Pelodiscus sinensis: one gene and its partners. The protein of the gene in region 1 purifies or fractionates together with the protein of each later gene. This does not show direct contact. Links are inferred from orthologs where the notes say so. Each region holds a gene or a part of one and is shown in the gene's direction. Other genes may lie near its edges. The genes, in order: CDK8, MED13L and MED12L.

What was found.
Region 2: the proteins of CDK8 (region 1) and MED13L purify together in Homo sapiens (affinity purification with mass spectrometry; 6 studies listed by BioGRID and IntAct, counting the BioPlex papers as one, with this or other methods). This does not show direct contact. The link is inferred for Pelodiscus sinensis from reciprocal best matches to the Homo sapiens genes CDK8 and MED13L.
Region 3: the proteins of CDK8 (region 1) and MED12L purify together in Homo sapiens (affinity purification with mass spectrometry; 3 studies listed by BioGRID and IntAct, counting the BioPlex papers as one, with this or other methods). This does not show direct contact. The link is inferred for Pelodiscus sinensis from reciprocal best matches to the Homo sapiens genes CDK8 and MED12L.

The regions. Positions count from the first base shown.
Region 1 is NC_134711.1:301,415,458-301,423,224, reverse strand, and holds the start of CDK8 (cyclin-dependent kinase 8), read left to right. Parts: upstream 1-4,678; 5' UTR 4,679-5,025; coding exon 5,026-5,153; intron 5,154-7,767.
Region 2 is NC_134725.1:12,063,873-12,071,492, forward strand, and holds the start of MED13L (mediator of RNA polymerase II transcription subunit 13-like), read left to right. Parts: upstream 1-4,547; 5' UTR 4,548-5,062; coding exon 5,063-5,134; intron 5,135-7,620. UniProt on the Homo sapiens protein: Component of the Mediator complex, a coactivator involved in the regulated transcription of nearly all RNA polymerase II-dependent genes.
Region 3 is NC_134720.1:26,769,031-26,776,032, forward strand, and holds the start of MED12L (mediator of RNA polymerase II transcription subunit 12-like protein), read left to right. Parts: upstream 1-3,970; 5' UTR 3,971-4,338; coding exon 4,339-4,437; intron 4,438-7,002. UniProt on the Homo sapiens protein: May be a component of the Mediator complex, a coactivator involved in the regulated transcription of nearly all RNA polymerase II-dependent genes.

The DNA.
Region 1 (7,767 bases):
TGGCTTCAGCTTTAAGTATCCTAACTTCTGATCTTGTCCTGCCACTTAATGAAGACAACAAATTAAAAAAAAATCCCAATCTTGTGTTCTTCAGCTTGTATTAATACTTCTGTTTCATTGCTATTCATTGGATATGTAACCATGGTTCTGTAAATAAAATCAAGCCCATCAATAATCCCATCCAATTCAGTGTGCCTACTTATGTGTAAGCTGAAGCACATACATATGGTCTTATAGGATGTGGGCCCAAGACTTTGTCAATAGCACTGACTTAAAAGTAAACATTCTTCTACAAAGGAATTTTATCACACAGTTAGAGGGAGACTGCTGAACTGAAATTCATTTACAAGTTTGATACTAGAAAAACTGTAAAAACAACATAGTGTAGTAGCACCTTAAAGACTAACAAAACATGTAGATGGTATCATGAGCTTTTGTGGGCATAACCCATTTCTTCAGATGACTAGAGGGTTATGCCCATGAAAACTCATGATACCATCTATGGCTATGTCTATACCCGCGGCTTCTTGCGCAAGTACGGCCATTCTTGCGCAAGAATCTGCAGAGCGTCCACACTGCCTGCCCGCTCTTGCGCAAGGAGCCCTCTCTTACCACACCATACTGTAAATTTCCTTGCGCAAGAGTTACGCTTTTTTTTCCCCAGGTGTAAGCCCTCTTGTGCAGGAGCTCTTGCGCAAGAGGGCAGTGTGGACGCTCGGCAGGGATTTCTTGCGCAAGAAAGCCCTATGGCTAAAATGGCCATCAGAGCTTTCTTGCACAAGAGAGCGTCCACACTGCCATGGGAGCTCTTGCGCAAAAGCGCAGCTCGCACATGGCAGTGTGGACATTTTCTTGCACAAAACTGCTTGCACAAGAACCCTTGCGCAAGATGTTCTTGCACAAGAAACAGCAAGTGTAGACATAGCCTACAGGTTTTGTTAGTCTTTAAGGTGCTACTAGACAATTAGTTGTTTTGTAAGTTTTTCTAGTATTAAAGAAAAACAGAAATACTGGACATTTAACATGTCCTGTATTTTTTTATTTTATTTTTTTTACTAGACGGGGGCCAGAAATAATGGACTGCCCGGGCAAAAAACGGACACCTGGCAACCCTAGCAGTGTAGACATAGCCGGTGATTTCCCCATCTGCCTGACATGGCCTTAAAGTTGAGCAGCAGTGCTTTTTTAAAGCAATGTCACAGAGTTTACCAAGTGTGGCACTGCAGTTGCTTCCTGCTTCAGTACTGACTTAACTCCCCACAATCCAAAAGGAGGAGACAAAAGCCCCCACCTAGGGTCCACTTTAGTTGAGTCTACAACTGTGTTCCTCCTCTCTGCTTTTCTTGTTCTGTAAAGACTGCAAAATACAGAGGAAATAATTCTCATATTAAATATTCTCATGCTAAAGGTTGCGGCATGGTTGGCTGTCCAAGGAGTTATTTGCTCTATAATTAAGCACATACTTTCCTTCAGACTTTTCATATCCAGTACTACTACAATTCAGATCTTTCTTTGTTTAATGTCCTATTCCAGCAGTTAGTATGTGCAGGTTGTTAGAGCTCAGCCAGGCTCCCTTCTATGCTCCAAAACTTTTGCTTGTAAATATAATTCCTTACATTCAGGAGCCTTTAATGATGACAGTCTCCTGCGACTTCCCTGCTCTCAGAACAGAAACTGTTCACTTTGGTACCTGTCTCCACTGTTGTACTAAATTCCATGATCAGTCACTTCTAGTTGATAACTATGGCTTTATTTCAAGCAAGGTAAAAGGAAGAGATTTATAAAGGGAGTGTGGGGATGAAAAGCACAGCACAAGCATGGAGTAAAAATCTTGGCAAGGGGGATATGAAGTAAGAAAAGGATGGGAGCAGGAGAAGAGGTTTGAAGCCCTAAATTGAGCAAAATAATTAAGCACTGTATTCAATGCTTTGCTGAATTATGTATGAATGACAGCATGGAGGAGAGAAGACAAGGAAACAAGCAATAGAAAATAAACTTTTATCACTCTAGAGAAGCAGCACTGTCCCCAGGAAAAAAATTAGATATTGAGTTTGAGGAGTAGAAGGTGAAGGCATAGCAAGCTCTTTCTTTAAAAATGGAGCTTAAAAACTGGTTGTCTTTTTTTATTTTGGTCATTGTTAGAACTTTTGTGATACTTGGCAGATTTCTGAAATAAATAGAAAAATGTCTTTTCCATTAAATATAGGTATTGAAATAAAAATGAAAGGAGATCCTGAAATGTCAGCAAGATTAAGATAGTCTCTCTAATTTAACTCTCTATAGGTATCATTAGCTCCATTTTACAGATAGGAGTATGAAGCACTGGGATGAAGGACTTGCCCATGGCCATCCAGCAGGCCTAGGAACAGTGTTCAGCGTCCTCGGGCGCATCTACAAGTACCCTAAACTCAAAATAAGGTACCCAATTTGTGCTATGCAAATTGTGTATCTTATTTAGAATCCAATTTGAAATTTGGTGCTTCTACACAGCACATTATTTCCAAATTTGGAGCTATGTTGAGCTATCCCTTATCCCTTGTGCAGCGAAGTTTACCGGGAGGGCAAAATAGCTTGCCTGTTATTTTGAAAAATATTTTGAAATAACGGGCAGCTTGTGTAGATGTGGGGTAACTATTTTGGGATACTTCTGGTATCCCAAAATAGCCGTGCAGTGCACCCCTAGTCTGGTGTATTGTTCACTAGCAAATATAACAGTAATACTGACAGGGCAATTTAAATATAAATATTCCTTCCTGCAAGAGAAACATATGCAGAAAGATATAAGAAGAGCTTCTAAACATTCTGACAAAATGATTAAAAACCAAAAGAGAAAGTACACGTGTGTTTTTAATGTGGTTTTGACTCCTGAGATGATTGGCTAATCATGAAAGCTTTTTAGATTTAGTGTAAATATCTAGAACATAGTACAGATTCCCAGAACTCTATTCTTGATTCTATATTTTTGTGTGTTTATATCCTTCCGTAATAAGCATTTTTAGGCCACGTCTACACAAACTTACATCAGTATAAATACACACCCTGAGCAATGTAGTTATATTGACTTAATCCATGACATAGATAATGCTTTGTCAGCGTCTCCCATGGATGTACCTAACACTTCATTTGGAGGTGGACTAACTGCTGATGGGAGCTCTCCTGTTGAAGTAGTAGTCGCTTCACTAAACGGCTATACCAGTGCCCCTGCAGCTTTTAAAGTGTAAAGCTGGCCTAACTCTTGACTCCTTTTATGGCTCTCTAGTTTTCAGAAACCCATCTTTATGCTTGGATAACTTAGCACATGGCTTTAGCCCCTAACATTACAGATTCAATCCCTTCTGTTGAGGACCAGGGCTTATCAGCCTTACACATACGTGACCAGTAGACATGCCAGAAAAGTGGCTGGTTTGGTGCTAGTGCTAGGGTTGCCAGATGGTTTCAACAAAAATACTGGACACACTTAACATTACATCACAATCTATATTACATCTTATTTTGAAAATACCGGACATTTATATTTTCTCAATTTGTTTCCAGAACAGAAAGCTCAAATACTAGACTGTCTGGTTCAAAACTGGACACCTGGGAACCCTAGGTAGTGCCTATTAGGATGTTAAAGGTTACCCAAGAATCATTACACTTACAGTCATACTTACTCTGTTAACAAACCAGTTAACTAGAGGGCTGGGTTGGGGACAGAGTCCTCTCCTCCCTGCTGTAGCCCAGCCAGCAAGGGCCCACTAGGTGGAAGCAGTCCCCTACCTGCAGTTCAGCAGGACCCTGTCTGGAGCAACCCCCAGGGCATGGAAGGATGCTGGCTGGAACAATCCCCCGCCTGTGGCATGGCAGAACCACAGCTGGCTGGAGCACTCCCACTCCTGCCAAGAGAGGGCCAGGCTGGAGGCAGCACTCTGTCCTCAGCAGGCTGACCCCAATTAACCAGTTAAACAATTAAAATTCTATCCTTTAATCAGTTCACTTTTTAAATGAGTATTTACATCCCTAGTGCCTATTTGCCAAATTCTGATATAATTACTGAATTTATGAAGCACCTACAAACAAATCTACTGCCTTCCATGGGATTATGTGTGAGGTAAATTACTATTTAGCATAATTACGGGAATCAGGGAGTGGCCCTTCATTAGGTAAAAATGCACAGATTTACCGCAAAGCATACAGTTGCCTTTCTTGGTTGAAACTATAGAATCTGTGGTCCAAATTTACGCATGCATTAACACATAGGGCTTGTCCTCACTAAAAGATTAGGTCATGTTAGACCACAATTTGAGGAATTGTATGAACAAAAGTGATGTTAAATGTGACTTTATGGTTAATACTGGCAGGGACTGCCTTATTTTAAATCTTATCAGCTCGTCTGGGGTAGATGCAACTTCAATCATTTGTTAACCCCCTTCCAAACTATAGTTCCCAGAATGCAGCAACCCCAGCATGCACGCAATAAGCCCCTAGCGCCACCCAGCGCTCTGCCTTGGCGCCATTCCGTTCCAATGAGCGCGCCTTCAACCGCCCCCAGACTACAACTCCCAGCCTGCAACGCTCCAACATTAGCTCAGCTCAGACTACAACTCCCAGCATGCAAAGCGGGGCCCTTTACCGAAGCCTGTACTACAACTCCCATCATGCAACGCTCCTGCGCCGGCCCCCGGTGGCGCAATGCATGCCGGTCCGGGAGGTGGACTGGGCGCTCTCAGCCGGCTAGATTCCACGTGGTGTTTTAGTCGCTGCTGCTGGGGAGGTGTCGCGGTGAGAGCGGCTTGCGACGCTTTTTCAACAGTGCAGTGAAGCGGGGCTGCCGTATTCCAGGTGCAATACCGGCTGTTGTGCCGTTGTCTGGCTGCGGCGGGCAGGGAGCGGCAGGAGACGGGGTGAGAGAGGAAGGGGGCAGCCCCCGCGCTCGTCGGCTTCCCCCTGGATGGTCCGTGTCGCTGGTGCGGGGCCTCCTCCTCCCTGGTCCCTGCGGTGTCCGGAGGCGCGGCGGGCTGTGGGTCGCGGCGGCGGGCGCTGAAGATGGACTATGACTTCAAGGTGAAGCTGACTGGGGAGCGGGAGCGGGTGGAGGACCTGTTCGAGTACGAGGGCTGCAAGGTGGGGAGAGGCACCTACGGGCACGTCTACAAAGCCAAGCGGAAAGACGGGTGAGTGTTGGCCCCGGCCCCGTGCTGCCCCTGGTTCGTGTTTGCCGCCCGCTTCCTGCCCCATTCCTGCTGCTTCCCTGCCCCCTGGCACCCTGCGTCTGCATCCTACCCCGTCTCTGCTGTGCTGCGATATTGCACCCGTCTGTGCCCTGCCCCCTCTTTGATGCTGTATTGTCCCTCGCCACCTCCCGTGTGTCTGCCCCCTCCCACCGTCCCTCTTGCCTCATTGTCCCCTGTCACTTCCCTTGTGTCTGTGCCTTGCTCCCTACTAGCTATCGCATCCCTCCCCCATCACCTGTGCCCTGCTTTATGGGACCCCCATGTTCCTGTGTGCTGGCCAAGTTCCACATAGCTTTTCTGTCCCCATTTCATTGGATCCAGATCCAGCTTCCTGAATGGTGTCCTCCATACGCTGCTCCCACTCTTCCACTATCATGCTTTATCCTTGTATACCCATTTCTCCATTCCATGCTGCTTTGCTGTCCCACTTATATTGTTCCCTGAGCTGATATTGACTGGTGACTGTCATATCCCAATAGCCCTCTGTTTGTGTATTCTATCCCCTCTTCTGTGCCTTGCACCCATTTTTATTGTTTCCCCTTGCTCTGTCCCTCTGCTGCTATATCTCTTTCCTTTAGCCTTAACCATCTCATTGTCCCTTACTCCGTTCCTAACAATCTAACAATGACGGTGGAGATAAACAGTCACAGATGAAAATACACTTTCTCCTAACCATTTGGCTGGTGTCTTGTTGGTACTGGCAGATTTTGAGGGGGAAAATTTTCTTTGGCTGAAAAAAATCCATATAACTTGGAGATCTTTACTTCTGGACAAATGGCTGTATGCTAGAAAAGCCTCAGCCTCCATCATCTATTTTGCAGGGTTGGATTTAATTTTCATGGTGGGTTTTCTGATTTATTATTGCTAGTCACCATTTTGAATGTTCTTGCTGGTTGATCCTATGACTGAAATCTTAGTCTTGAAGGAGTTTGTACTGGTTGCACCTATGACTGAAATCTTAGTCTTGAAAGAGAAGCATTTTTGAAGATAATCTTTTTTATGGCCAATTCATAGTACGGTTTTTGGGAGATGGAGGTATAGGAACATAGCTGTCTGTAAAAATGTACTGAAAAATACGTATGTCATTTGGATTTATTATTCCATAGCAAAACATCACTTTTTCAACAGCACAGCAGTGGGAAGCAGGAGATCTGGGAAAATGCAGAGCTTAGTGTTGTCAGTTTTTCTAAATTTTAGCCATGTTTGGGTTGTTCCCTTTCATCTTAAATCTCATCTTTTTTATTTTTTCCTTCCCTCCCTCCAGCCCCTTGGGATAACTTCATTAGTCTGTTACTGATAATTTTCCCCATGCATATTAGGATGGTACATTTCAACCATTTAAAATGGCAGTGTTTTTATAGTCAATAAACTAAAAATTTTGCTTGCCCCAGTTATCGGTGAAAATTTTATTAGTCTTGGTTTTATGTACTTGCATCCACGTGTACATGCTAATATCATTATTACATAGAGAACTCGGTATAAGGGAAATGGCTCACATTTAAACGTTACATATTAAAAAGGCTATTAGGCATGCTTATAGTGACGCTGGCATAATTATTACAGTATATATTTTGTTTGCTGCTGAGGGCCAGCTAATACGTTGGTTATTTTTTTAAAATTAAATATTACACCCAAAAATAATACTCCTTCCTGGACTTTGGAAATAAGAGTTAGGAGGAACAGATTGTGTTTCTGATCCTCTGTGCATTCGTTTAATGTAACTTAAGGTGAGTAATTGTTGACTTCAGTAAAGTTAAACATTAGAGTTTAGGAATACATGATTAAAATGTTACCATTAAGATAATCTGGAAACATTTAAATCCAGAAACAATGTAAAATTTGGACAGTGTTAGTGGAAATATAGATGACAAATACTTAACAACATTTTTATGCAGAGCTGTTCCAATGTTTTGGATGTGTATTGTTTAGCAAATATTTCTCAAGTTGGTGTGTTCTTTCATCAATATTTTCAAAAGGTATGCTGATCTGTGGTCTCAAGAACAGAGCCCTAGGTGTTGAACAGTGTTCCCTCTAATCTCTCCTATCTTTGAATGGGTTGAATTGGGGGGAGGAGGGGCAATTGAAATTTTATGTGCAACACCACTATTGAAGTATTTTGTGGATGTGCACCACCAATATGCAAACAAAATGCATGCATGCATGCATATATACAGGGCTCGACAATTAGGTCAATCTACTCACCCGTGGCGAGTAGATTTTAGCTTGGCACAGTGCTGCAGCACGATTCTCAAGCCTGCATATATATATATATATATGCAGGGCTTGAGAAGCGGCGGCAAGCCCTGCTCGCCAGCCATGCCATTTGGCATGCTGTGCATGCGCTAATCGCGCTGCTGTGCATGCGCTAATCGCGCTGCAGCGCTGTGCCAGGCTAAAATCTACTTGCCACGGAGTAAATATATATATGGAGTAAACGCTTATTAAGTTTGCAGATGATACCAAGCTGGGAGGGGTTGCGACTGCTCTGGAGGAAAGGGTCATAATTCAAAATGACCCGGACAAATTGGAGAAATTGTCTGAGGTAAACAGGATG
Region 2 (7,620 bases), on another chromosome or scaffold:
TAATTCTGTTTGATTATTTCATCTTGCTTCCTCCAGCTCCTAACTTAGAACTCCCGCACAAAGAGAGATGGCAAGGTATACATTTACAATTTAAATTTCAGCACAGTATTCCATTGGTTCCTCTGGCTTCCTGCCAACACCCTTAGCTCCCTGAGTTTAACCCATTTGGTCACTGGCTGCTGGCCAAGACTCCTCTTATCCATCACACAGTCTGACCCTTTTATCTGGGAGAAGTCAACTGGAGCAGATGACAGTCTGTCCTTCCCCATCCCCTCACTTAGTGTAAATGTAGTAGTTCTGATTTTTAAATGCTCATAATTGAGTGAGGTAAAAACCCTATGGACAAACCTTGGATTTACATTTACCAATCACCAATATTTAAAAATGTAAACTGTCTAATAAATGCAATTGACAAAAGACGCAAGCTCTAATATTACTGTTGGTGGAGTTGGTCCTTTGTTGCTGGAGACCAGGAGTCTAAGTTCCAAACCCAGAGTTGCATATGTGGGTCTGTGATCTGTATGCAACTATGGATTTGTTGCAGAAGTTCTCTTCTGAATAAACATTCTTGACATACACTGAATTCCTCTCTGTTAGTGTTATAAAATAGATCCTAATCATTACAACTGAAACTAATTAAAAAAGTAAATTGCTTAATAAAATGCGATGTAAGAAGTTTCCTCCTTGACGCTTTGACAAAAACAAGACTGAAAAAATCAGCTTTCCTACTGAAAACCAGATCATTTAAAATTGTTGCACAGTCAATACATACTTACGTTTTTAATGGGGGTTGCTAAGTGAATGTAAATTAATCACACATCTTAAATGCTAATACCACACCTGTGATATTCTGGTAGCCAATGAGAAATCCAATTAGTTAGTCCTATTATGCCTGAGCAAATCAGTGTTTGTATCAAAGGGCCATTGTGAACTTGAGAAATGTTTATTAAAAAAAAAATTTAAGTTAAGATATTAAATGATCACCTGGCATTTCCCAGAGCTGACAGTTTTTATTTCAGTGAATGTAGACACCCAGAGAAGCTTGTATTTATAAAATAACGTTGAATTTATTTATATATGTTCAAGTGACATATTTATTTCTCTCCAATGTACAACAAAAATAAAAATTACGATTTTTTTCTGTCACATCACAGGTGAAAAGTGAGGAGCAATGTGACATTTTTGTATGTAGGAGGGTGCCATGTAACCATTCATTCTTTTTTAAAAAATGCTACTGCTGTCTAATGCCCTCAGTATGCCATAGAACAGGAGTGGGCAATACATTTTGCAAGGGGGCCACTTAATGAATTTTCCAATGTAGTCAAGAGCTGGCTTAACCCCTCGCCCCCAGAAGGGGCGGGGCCTGGAGTAGAAGGGGCAGGGCTGCGGACTAGTCTCCCCTCAGAGTTGTCTGGAGCCACAGGCTTTGAAATAAAGACACAGAAAAGGGCTCCCAAATCCCAGCCTCATGGCTAATGGATTGCTGCAGCTATTTAAAGGTTCATAGCTCTGTCCCCTGCCAAGGTAGCGCCATGACTGGGAGCCATGAGCCTGGAAATTCGGTGGCATGGGCAGCAGGATAGAAATAGAAGGCAGCCAGATACAGTCCGGGGTAAATCACAGTGTTAGGAGGGCTGGATCTGGGCCCTGGGACACATTTTACCCAGCCCTACCATAGGCAATGAATTTGGATTGATTCAGCTCTTATAAGCCCTCTCTGTAAAAGAACGTAATAAGAAAATTGAGCGTATCAGCAATAAGATGAAACATGTATGGAGCACGGTTGATTTCTTAGAAAGTATTATCCCCATTTTGTGGATGAAGCAAGTAAGTTTCAGGAAGGCTGTTTGCTGACTGTTCCCTTTGTTGCCCCTAAGAGTGTGTGATGGGGAAGGATTAAAATACAGCTGACTATAGCTCAGACCTGGGCAAAATACAGCGCGTGGGCTGGATTTGATCTGCCAAACCACTGGATTTGGCTCACGGATGCTGCAGTGAGCCCCACACAGGCTCTCTGCTTGCCTTGCCCCACCTGCATGCTGCTCAGACACGTGGCTGCGGGGCAGTTTTACTTTAAAAACTGAGCCCAGAAGGGAGGGGAAGGCAGCTTTAGGAGCTGCTTGTGACCCCAGCACAATCCCATTGGCTGACTTTTGGCCAGAAACTGGTTTTAATAACAGGCAGCCACAAAGAACAAGGGGCTCATAGTTATTCACAGAGCACATGGCTGCAGCCTGTGTTGGGGTGGGGCAGGCAGGGAGGCTAATTCAGAAATGGTCTGCTGGCTAGTAAGTCTCCTAGCCAAAGCCTGCCTCTGGCACCCCAGCCCCTTCATTCCCCAACCTCTGTCCCCAACTCTTGCCATCCTACTCTGCATAACTAAATCCTCTTCCCATCTCCCGCACCCATACCCCCTCCCAGATTAGGCACCCCAATCCCCTGCCCCAGATCACAGTCCCCTCCTGCCCTATCTCACAACCCAAATTCCTGCGCTTCCTCCTGTATCCCAATTCCCTGCCCTAGGTCACAATCCAACCCCCTGTACCCCAGTCCACTGCCCCAGGTCACAACAGCCTCCTTCATCCAAACTCCCTCCCTTACTACAAGCTCCCTTTTGCATTTCTCTCCAATGTACAACAAAAATAAAAATTACGATTTTTTTCTGTCACATCATAGGTGAAAAGTGAGGAGCAATGTGACATTTTTGTGTGTCGGAGAGTGCCATGTAACCATCCATCCCAGACCCCACACCTCCTCCATTAATATCATGGAAGAATGCAGCCCTCAAACAGTTCCCAAATTCTTGGAGTGCCCTCCTCCCCCATCAAACATTATTGGCCACCCCTGCTGTAACTATTACTTCCAAAAACAGAGCAGTAACATAGGTGTATATCTTCTAGTACCATCATCATTAATACCCTATATAAGGGTAAGAGGCACAGCTAAAGGCATCCTACAAAAAGGATGTGGACACATTGGAGAGGGTCCAGCGGAGGACAACCAAAATGATTAGGGGTTGGAGCATATGACTTATGAGGAGAGGCTGAGGGAGTTGGGTCTGTTTAGTCTGCAGAAGTGAAGCGTGAGGGGGGATTTGATAGCAGCCTTCAACTTCCTGAAGGGAGGTTCCAAAGAGGATGGAGAAAGGCTGTTCCCAGTAGTGATAGATGGCAGAACAAGGAGCAATGGTCTCAAGTTGCAGTGGGAGAGGTCCAGGTTGGATATTAGGAAAAACAGGAGGGTGGTGAAGCACTGGGATGGGTTACCTAGGGAAGTAGTTGAGTCTCCATCCCTAGAGGTGTTTAAGTCTCAGCTTGACAAAGCCCTGGCTGGGTCAATTTAGTTGGGATTGGTCCTGCCTAGGGCAGAGGGCTGGACTTGACCTTCTGAGGTCTTTACCAGCTCTATGGTTCTATGATTCTATGACCTGCACTCTTTGCACTCTGGGCCTTACTCTCATGCCCTACTTTGAAGCAAGGAATCACCTTAGCTCTCCCTGACTGTAGTCAGGACTAGTGTGGGGGCACTAGCTGTGTGTCTAGACCACAGGTTTTTTTTAAAAAAACTGGCTTGTTTTCAAAAAAACTTTCCCTAAGTCTAGACTACTGCCACATGCTTTTGCAAGTAAAACAAAAGAGCGTGGCAGTTTTTTTGACTGTGGAAAACCTCATTTTATGAGGAGGAACGCCTTTTTTTTGAAACAAAATGCAGGACAATGTAGCACTTTAAAGACTAACAAGATGGTTTATTAGATGATGAGCTTTCGTGGGCCAGACCCACTTCCTCAGATCAAATAGTGGAAGAAAGTAGTCACAACCATATATACCAAAGGATACAATTAAAAAAAATGAACAAATATGAAAAGGACAAATCACATTGCAGAACAGAAGGGGGATGCGGGGGGGGGGGGGGGGGGAAGGGGGAGGAAGGAAGGTAAGTGTCTGTGAATTGCTGATATTAAAGGTAGGGAGAGTGGGATGTTTGTGAGTTAATGGTATTACAGGTGATAATTGGGGAAACTGTCTTGGTAATGGGTGAGAAAGTTCAAAGTCTTGTTAAGTCCTTGTTGGCAAGTGTCCAATTTTAACATGAATGACAGTTCAGAGGATTCCCTTTCAAGTGCAGATGTAAAAGGTCTTTGTAGCAGAATGCAGGTGGCTAAGTCATTTAGAGAGTGTCCTTTCTGGTTAAAGTGGCAAGAAAGGCTTGTGGAATGAAAACTGTGCTTTTTCGAAAGAGAGCATCCAGACTGCCTGGGAGCGCTCTTTCGAAAGTAGTGCTTGTAGTCTAGACGCTCTCTGGGAAGAGGCTTGCAGTCTAGACTGAGCCCAGGTGCTGCGCCTGAGCTAGGTCGGGAGGCGCTAGGAGCTCGCCCGGGCAGCAGATTCCTTGCTCGAGTGCGCCCCCTGTGGAGCGTCTGGGAGGCAGCAGGAGCGTGTGTGTGTAGGGAGAGACAGAGGACAGACTTGGAGCGCTCGCTTCCCCCGCCGCTCGCAGCTGCCCACGTGGTACGGCGCTGGCCAATGGCGAGGCGCCCTGCGTCTGGCGGCCGCCATTGCTGTCAGAGTGGCGAGCGGCTGAGGCGAGCGCGCGAGGAGGAGTCGCTGCTGGCGCGCGGGGCCACGCGGAGGGCGGCGAGGACGGGCAGGGGCAGCGCGCGCTGTCCGGCCTGCGGCAGTTGCGGCGCGCGGACGAGGCGGCGGCCGCGGGAAAACACCACCCACCCGCCGCGAGGGGCGGGGACAGCGCCCCCCCTCAGCCGCCGGCGCCACTGCCCGCGCCACCCTGAGGCGAGCCCCGCGCCGGAGCGCGCTTGGGCTGCGGGTGCTGGACCCGCCCGCTCGGCTCGTTGCGGATTGTCGGGCAGGGGGGGCGGAGCGAGGCCCCCCCGCGCGGGGAGCGCCCCCTGCCGGTCCCCGGCCCTTCCTCGGGCTGGCGCGTGTGCGGGGCAGGGCTGCGGCGGCCGCCCCTGTGACGGGAGGCAGCCCCGGGCGCTTGTGCCGAGCCGCCGGCCCGTCTCCACAGACATGCCCCGCGCTGGCGGCCGGGCTCGCCGAGGATCATGACCGCGGCGGCGAACTGGGTGGCGAACGGGGCCAGCCTGGAGGACTGTCACTCCAACCTCTTCTCGCTGGTGAGTCCCCGCGGGCAGGCAGCGCGGAGGGGCCGAGCCCGGCGTGGGGCTCACGTAGGGGGCCCCGATGCTCTTTCGAGCAGCCGGGTTGCAACGTGGTTGGGTCGGTGCCGCTTGCCGGGGCTTTATAGTTGGGACCCGGGGGGGGGGGGGGGCTGCTCCCCGCCTGGCCCCTCCTCCCGGCTCCGCTCCCTATGTATGTGGCTCTTTAACAGCGTTTGCGGCGAGCGCGCCTTCCCCGCGCCCAGCTGCATGGCTCTGAATAGGAGATGTCAAGGCAACGGATTGGGTATCCCGTTGCCTGCGCTGCCCACATGTGAGACCGTCTCCTGTGGTAAACAGTCTTCTCTCCCCGCCCCTGCCTGCTTTGACACTTCATGCCCTAGTGCTTTGTGCCTCTTAAACTGCGTGTGCCCCCCCCCCCCCTTTTCGTAATGACAAACGCTGTTTCAGCAGTAAACAGTTCATGCAATGTGATTATCTATAGGACGTGCTCTCCGGCTTCTTGTGTCTGAACGTCAGCTGTCGTTATGAGTTTACAGCCATGCCTCCCTTGCACCGATGGGGGTGAAAGGGATGAAAGACTTTTTTTGGCCTTGGAAGGGAAAGCATTAGCTGAAAATGCAACGTTGAGTTGCTTGATAGCATCTATGTTACCTTCCATCTCACTGGTGGTTGACAACTTTCACTTTGTGCTTAGATGGCATGGTTTAATCTTACAGCAGCTATGATATCCGTTGTTCATACTGAACAGTTGCAAAAACTGTATATTTTAAATCTTAATTTAAAATGAATACAAAGAACGATTACTTGTTATCCGGATTAGTGACATTTTATTTGAAAAGATCTTTTTGCTTTCTTGTATGCCACAGCTGCAAGGAACCATTAGTCAGGTAAAGGTGAGAACTCTTGGGTCCCCAGTAGCAACCCAAGCCAAAAGAGGTGGAGTATAGGATTGTTTATAGGGGAACGATAACTAGGAAGATAAAATGGGGAGCAATAGGGTAATACAAGAAGAGTGGGAGAGGAAATTAAAAAACCAAACCAGACCGAAACACCTCTTTCTTCCCTCCAACCACTCTTCCTCCGCAGCCAAAAAGAACAGATTACAGCTTTACTTTTTTCTAAAGGTGGAGAAGGAATGTGAAATTTAAAAAAAACCCTCATTTTAAAATGTTTAACTTGGAACCTTTAAGTTATGCATATTGCTAGCCTTTGTAATGATAGTTTTGTAATTAACTGTAAACCTCCGTCTTTCCCGGATGATGAACAACCTTTGATGCTTTCCTTTGGTTTGTAGTAGAGAGGTAGCTGTGTTAGTCTGATCTTGCTAAAACAAAAGGGAAAAAATATGTAGCACTTTAAAGACTAACAAGATGGTTTAATAGGTGATGAGCTTTCCTGGTCCAGACCCACTTCCTCAGATCCTGTTATTCTTCCCAGCTCATCTCTGGAGGTGGGGCTGGCAGAAGGCAGAGATGAGCTGGGAGGAATAATGTGATATGAGGAAGTGGGTCTGGCCCATGAAAGCTCATCACCTCTTAAACCATCTTGTTAGTCTTCAAAGTGCTACATAGTTTTTCCTTTTGTTCCTTTGGTTTGTTTGTTCCTGATATCAGGTACCTTGTCTTCATCTCCAAAGAATTATATTCTTGTTGGAGGTTTTCTTTTGCTATGTGTTTGTACATTGGGATCCTTGTAGGAGGCTTTTGGGTGTATGTTATAACAAATACCATCCCCTTTGGCTTTTTATTGACTTCTAACCACTTTCAGAGCTAAATGACACTATTTAATCTTGCATTTATGCTAATGTTTACAGTGCCTTTATATCACCAGTGTATACCGCAAATATAGTAGTGGTAACAGTGGTTTGTGTACACCAGTCTTGATTACTAAGAAAAACTCACCAGTAAATAAAAGAGAAGCAAATGTATCAGGAAAGATTGTCACCAGTAAAATAAAAACAAAACCTCAGTCAATCTTAGTTTTTAAAAAAAAAGACCAATAAAAAAACCTGTTAACTTTATTCACCATGTTTTGGTTAGGAAATTAATATGTTTTGGTAAGTGTTAGGTGGTATAATTGTAGCCCCGTTGTCAAAGTCTGTCATAGATAATATAATTCTTGGTATAAGGTACCATGGATTACAAAGTTTAGATTTTCAAATTTTGTATTAAAGAATTTATACTAAGAAACTTTATAGAACAGCATATTTTTTTAATTATATGCATAATGCCAGTGAAGTAAAAAAAATACAATTATGGAGTTTGCTTTTAAAAGTGAGCTTGCATTCAAACTGATGTATAAATACCTTTATACTTGGTATACTACAGTATAAGGTGATACCACTTCAAATTTGGTCTCTTAAATCTATCTTATTGATTTCACGAATATTTTTTTCTGCAATAACAAATAACATTTAAACATCTGTTTGCAGATATGTTTTATTTAACACAAAATAGCTTGCAAAGCTAAACTTAGCCTAA
Region 3 (7,002 bases), on another chromosome or scaffold:
GATATACACTCTCACCGTGCTATGTGGGATATTTATCCATTACCTACTTGTGCTCCACCTGGCTCCAGCCAAAGCCATTAGTCCTTCCCTACTGTGAACAATACATTCACTTAGAAATTTCTAAAAGAAGGGGGAATTGTGAGGAGATGGGTGTTGCTGTTTCTGTAAAACTGCAGTGGGAAGGCAGATGGGGTGGGGAGTTGGGTTGAAGGTGTGAGTCAGGTTCTCCAGTGAAGGCTGAGAAAGATGAGCTCGAGGGATAACATTGTTCTATAGCACAATCACTCTGTATCTCTGTTCCATTGTTATGTGACATCCACAAGGGGAAGAGACCTACCCTGAGGAGATTTTGTCTCCACTCTCACCACTTGACTTAAGAGACCCATAAGGTGTGCACCTGCTACACAATAAGGGTGTGTCTAAACTACATGGCTCCATCGATGGAGCCACGTAGATTAGGCTGATGGGCAAAGGGAAATGAAGCCATGATTTAAATAATCGTGGCTTCATTTAAATTTAAATGGCTGCCGCGCTGAGCCGACAAACAGCTAATCAGCTGTTTGTCGGCTCAGCGTGCTAGTCTGGACACTCCCACACTGGCCTGAAAGCCCTTTATCGACCTCCCCGTTATGCCTCGTAGGATGAGGTTTACCAGGGAGGTCGATAAAGGGCTTTCATGTCGGCAGGGGAGCATCCAGACTAGCGCGCTGAGCCAACAAACAGCTGATCAGCTGTTTGTCAGCTCAGCGCAGCAGCCATTTAAATTTAAATGAAGCTGCGATTATTTAAATCACGGCTTCATTTCCCTTTGCCGAACAAACAAATCTACATGGCTCCATCGACGGAGCCATGGAGTTTAGACACACCCTAACTGTGGGCTTTCTTCCAGCAGCCACATAATATATTCACTGGAAGAAGGGTCTGTAATGGCTGGTGGACCCTCTCTTCAGCACTGCAAACAACACACCTGCCAGAGGAACAATGTAGCAACCTGCCAAACCCAAAAGGGGGATGTGATACGACAAAGGCCCAGAATGGGGAACACAAAAAAGCATCCATGCAGGAAATTTAAAGTGCTGTGGGATTTCTTCTGTTAGTGCAAATGACTCCCTCTGTAATCTATGCAGCATAATTGTAGCTGTGTCGGTCCCAGGATATTAGAGAGACAAGGTAGATGAGGTAATATCTATTATGGGATCAGCTTCTGTTGCTGAGAAAGACAAACATTTGAGTCATACAGAGCTCTTCTCCAGGTGTGGAAAAGGTGCCCCTAGCAGCACAGCAAAATAAGTGGAACAGGTTATTTGTTATTTGTTTAGCATGAGTAGTTAATGCATATTGTAAGGGCCCATTCATAGTAGAGTGGCCCTTTATCATCAAACAACTACAATGCACACTCAAGGCAGACCCCACCCTGAAAGAAATCTTTCCTGAACCCCAATTTCTGGCCTTCAAACAAGGACTTAACTGCTCCAACTTCATCATCAAAAGCAAGCTCCACTTAGACCAGGATGCAACAACTTAAAGTGGCATCAGAACAACAGATGCAAAACTTGTAGACACAGCTTCACAGCTCCATATGATCAACACTCCCTATAACATACCTTTCAAGGCCCATGTCTACCACAGCACACGAGATAGCTCATGCGGTGCACTATGTGCCCCAATAATGACTATGTAAGTGAAACCAGACAATCACCATGCTCTTGAATGAACTCATGCAGGAAAATAAAAAAGATAACACCCTATCACCTGTGAGTGAACATTTTTCACACAGCGATCACTCTACATTTGACCTATCAGTCCTCATCCTCAAAAGAAACCTGCACAACCAGGGATGCCGGAACAGTTTGTGTAGTGAGGGTGCTGAGAGCCATTAAACCAAACTGTAAACCCAATATATAAGGGAAACCATTTCAAGCCAGAGGGTGTTGCAGCACCCACCACAGTGCCAGCACGTAAATGTATAACACTACCAAAAGATGAGCCTGGGAGCTTAAATTCATTACTCTACTAGACACTAAAGATCAAGGCCAGAATAGAGATGCTGGATTTATGTTTATTACAACAATCTGTGATCTGTTAACCCCTTTTTTGCCCTATGATTCCAAAAATGTTACTCTCTAACTTGAATGGTTTCCTTGGTCCAAGTCTATACTGCCGCCTTACTGCGCTGCATTTTTCTGGCTCAGAGACGTGAAAAATCATAGCCCCTGAGTGCAACAAGTTACACCACTATAAAGTGCCAGCGTAAACAGGCTCCTGGAGCAGTTAGCTTCTCCCCTCGTGGAGGCAGTTTACACAGAGGCTATGTCTAGACTGGCAAGTTTTTCCGCAAAAGCATCTGCTTTTGTGGAAAAACTTGCTAGCTGTCTACACTGGCCACTTGAATTTCTGCAAGAACACTGACTTCCTACTGTCTGAAATCAGTGCTTCTTGCAGAAAAACTATGCTGCTCCTGTTCGGGCAAAAGGGCCAATGTAGACAGCTCAGATTTGTTTTGCGCAAAAAAGCCCTGATCGTGAAAATGGCGATTGGGGTTTTTTTGCGCAAAAGCACGTCTAGATTGGCCATGGATGCTTTTGCGCAAAAGTATCCGTGCCAATCTAAACGTTCTTTTCCGCAAATGCTTTTAACGGAAAACTTTTCCATTAAAAGCATTTGCGGAAAATCATGCCAGTCTAGATGTAGCCAGAGTGCTGGAAGACCTCTCTCCCAGCTCTTGTGCTGTGGCTACACTTTCATGTTTAGGTGATGCCCGGCAGCACTTTAATTTTAGAACTGTAGACAAAACCTTAGAAAACATGCTAACTACTAGTGCTAGTCAATCTGATCCACCTTGCATTTGGCTGCAGTGCTCAGAGTACCTCTCAGACTGGAAGAAGAGCACTGTATGGGCTTGCAAGCTTGTCTCTCATTAACAGAAGTTTAAGATTCTTTATTTCAGAATTACATTATTTTCAACAGTAAAAGTATGTCTGGAGAAGTGACACCAATTTTGTGGAATGTAGACAAGTTTGGGAGGAAGCGAGTAACATCTCTATACAGTGGAGTGCTCTGCAGAGGTTTCTTTTTCCACAATAACTGTGAGCATGTCTCCAGCACTCCCCTTCATGCAGCCACCAAGCACATAGGAATTAAGAAAGCAGTTAGATGGTGAGTCATTGTGAGAACTGCCTGACTGTTGCAGAGCCCCTATCCCATCTTCTCCTCATTATTTCTAAGTGGAAGCAGTAGGAAGCAGCAACTTAACAGGCACAGACAAAATTCCTCCAGATTCCCAACTGCCTCCCCTGGCTCAGTCTCAGGCCTCAATTGTGCTCACACCCTACAAGAGCATTTATGGGAGTCACTCAATCCCCTCAAAGCAGTGGGTGTTGGGCCAGAGGATACTTTAGCTTTTAAACCATGTAATAGCAAATAACATTTTAATTAAAACAAAGTTTTGCTTTGTTATGACCCAAGCTCTTAGCCAAGGCTCTACTATGAGCTGATCTACATGTTTTGTTAGTCTTTAGAGTGCTACTAGACTATTTGTTGTTTTTTAATTTTTTCCTGTTACAGACTAACTGGGCTACCTCTCTGAAGCTTTTGAACATCTTAGTTATAAAGTCTTTTAGCTTCAGAGGGGTAGCCCAGTTAGTGTGTATCAGGAAAAACTTAAACAAGTAGTCTAGTAGCACCTTAAAGACTAAATAGTTCAAGAGGGTGCTGCTAGACTATTCAGTTGTTTGTCCAGTTACAGACTAACTGGGCTACACCGCTGACGCTTTTGAACATCTCCGTTATGTGAAGATTAATTCTTTCTCCTTCACTTTGAGATTAATCTAAAATCAGTTTATTTCTGGGCCCCCCTCAGGAGGAAAGATTTTTGCTCTGCCTTGCAGTCTGGTATCCCCCCCCCCCATGCAGTTGGAAGGCATCTCCCTCCTGCTGAGCGACTTGTCTGGGATTTAAAGCGATATAGTTGGAAAAGAAATCGCCAGCGCGGTTTGAAACCCCCTCAGAGCAATTAGCGTAGAGTGTGAGAGAGCCCTGTCAGGGCTGGGCGCGGGGGGGATACCCCGCCCCAAAACGCGTCCCTCCAGCTGGCTGCGCTGCTGTCCCAGGGCACGCACCGCCGCCCCAGCTGCGGGGCACTTGTTCGACCGCAGCCCGGGGGCGATGCTGGTGTGTGTCAGGAGGCAGCCGCATCCAGCCTGCCTCTCGCTCCCCTGCAGGAGAGAGAGAGCGAGCCAGACGGCGCGAGGGAGCCTGTCTGCCAAGTGCTGCTCCCTGGTGCTCAGAGCCTGCTCCGTCTCCAACTCCCATTCATTTTGCCGGCTAACATGAGAGATCATGGCCGCCTTCGGGCTTCTCAGCTATGAGCAGAGACCGCTCAAACGCCCCCGCCTGGGGCCGCCCGACGTCTACCCGCAGGACCCCAAGCAGAAGGAGGTGAGAGCCGGAGCCTTCGGCTGCGCCGGGCGCGGGCTCCGCGGGGCTGGCGAGGGGCAGAAGTTTGCCCGGCGGCCACCTGAAGGGGTGATGGGGGCGGGGGTGGGAAAGGAGCCTGCCGGCGCGGAGCTGCTGCTAGTCTGAGGGGAGCCCCGAGCCGGAGCAGGGATGCCGTCGTGGGGGGCTGCTCCCTGCCTGGGCCTGAGGCCGCCACGGCTGCAGCCACCCCATCCCCTTTCCCAGTGGAGCCTTTTAAACTTTTGAAAAAATGTCGGCTGGCAAGGCGAGGCACCCCCCTGACTTGCATTTTTCTGCGGCGAGGCTGGGGTTCGGGGCTGGGCACCAGGGCAGGCGTAGCTCGCTGGACCTGCGGGAGCAGGAGACCTCCACTTCTCCACTCCCTTGGCAGCCTGGGGACACTGGTTCTGCCGCCGTCTGGGGCAGTAAATCCCCACCCAGAGGAGATGGACAATCATTTGTGACTGACAGAAGCTTGTCTCTGTCCATGGATGCTGGACTGCAATAGGCAAGTACTTTGGCTGTTGGGCAATGCTCAGTAACATCTGCTGGAACAAAAGCTATTTGGCTTCTAACACTCAGGGTACCCCTGGCAGGTAGGCACAGTGCAGTAACCATGGCATTCCGTAGGTAGGATACACTGCAATTATTTTAAAATAATCACTTGTTAAAAGAGTCAGGGTGCTATAATTTGTCATGGGACTTGTTTATTTTTTAACTCACCTGCTTCCCCTCTGTAGTGATTCAGATAAGTGAAAGCTATAGTCACCTGTAAACCATTTTGCCTAGTAACTTTCCTTTCCTTATTGTGACCTCAGCCAAATGGTGGTAATTGCCCTCATAGATATTTTGCATATAATTGAGGGAAGGAGGGGAGAAAACTAGTAAATATTTACCAGAGATGATGACTGAAATGAGATGGGCCCCCTGAATTTGTTAGGGTAAAACTTTCTAAGAAGTACAAGTGTTCATGTCCTCTGTTACAAAGGTTTGGTATCTTATTTTCTAAAAGTGCATTTTAACAAAATCTGCCCCTTATTGTTAATCTAGATTGTAAAATTGCAAATCCCAACATGACAGGTAATTCTTTAGGCAGTGCTTGCTGATGTGTCCATTTGCAGGTAAACCTAATAGAGATCTGAAATTGCAGAAGTAGGGATTTATTCCAATTTCAAAGAGCAACTAGTTGCTTGGCCATCTCAAGTGGGTGACTGGAATTTAATGGTTAGAAACATGTTTTTATAAGTCTGAAGCAGTGGGCTGTGGATGACCTTCAATTCTGAGGTAAGCTGCAGCCAGAGGAATTCAGAAACTTGAAAATGTATTTTCAAAACTTGGTCAGAGGGGGTAGGGGAAGAAGTTACCGTACTTTCTACTCTGAAATACTATCCAAATATTTGACCATGATCTTTACGAGGCAGTTGTCTTTGATAATATAGCAAAATGTATCTAACATTACGGCTAATCTCTATATTTTGGACTTGGGAGAGTAATTCAGGGCTAGCAGTGTGTTTGAATTGGTGCTTCTTTGTAAACTCTGACAGTCAGTTACACTATCAGTATATCTGCTTCCTGTACATTTTCCCCTTTGGCCAAGGAGATTTCCCCATCTCAGTTTTGTATTTCTTTTACACTCAAAGCTCCTACTTTAAGCAGTTTATGCCTCTAGCAGAAAGTCTTGAGGTTTGATCCAAAGCCCATTCAGTGAGATTCTCATTTTTTCTATGTACTTCATTGGGCTTTGGATCAGGCTCAAAGCCCCTTGTGTGGTATGGAGGCCACACACATCCATTCGCTGCTATTCTTCTCATTAGTAGCTGATTATACAGTTTCTATCACATTTCCAACTCCCCCCGCCCTTTCCCCCACATGTTTTTTGGTGAGTTCAGCGCTTATTAAAGTTGTGAGCCTGAGTCCTAGAGAATGAAGCTGTCTAGTTATCTACACACCTAGTATAGAATGGGCTGCAGCAGTGCAAGATTCTCCAGATCATCAGATTATCATGGCCCATCCAGTCTTTCGTTTCTTTGCAGAGACAACCAGCAAGGATGCCAGGGGCTACTAATTTTGATGGTGGATTGTGAACATGGACACATCTACTATGCATTAGACTTAAGCCATCAACTGATTGATATAGGCCAAACAGTAACAGTCATTATCAGTTAGTAACTACTTCTGATCCCTGCTGGCTTCAGATGGATGTGGGCTAGTGATTTATATTGAAGCTCCATTTTCTATCTTATTAACAATCCTTTGAACCCTTGAGGATTCTCTTCCTTCTTTCTTCCAGTCCCTCTCTTCCACCCTCCATGTAGCCCCTCTTATCATATTTATAAATAAAATTCCAGTTTACTATAATGTGACATTATATATTTTGACTAAATTTATGGAACTGCATTTGGATTAAGCTGTTATGTATACAGATCAACTTTTAGCTCAGGAATGCTATATGTTTTTAGTTAGAAAGTGTAGTGATTCTTGAAGATACATTTTATACGTATCTAGTCCGTTACAATAAGAATGATAGTGGCAAGTGTCCAGCTGATT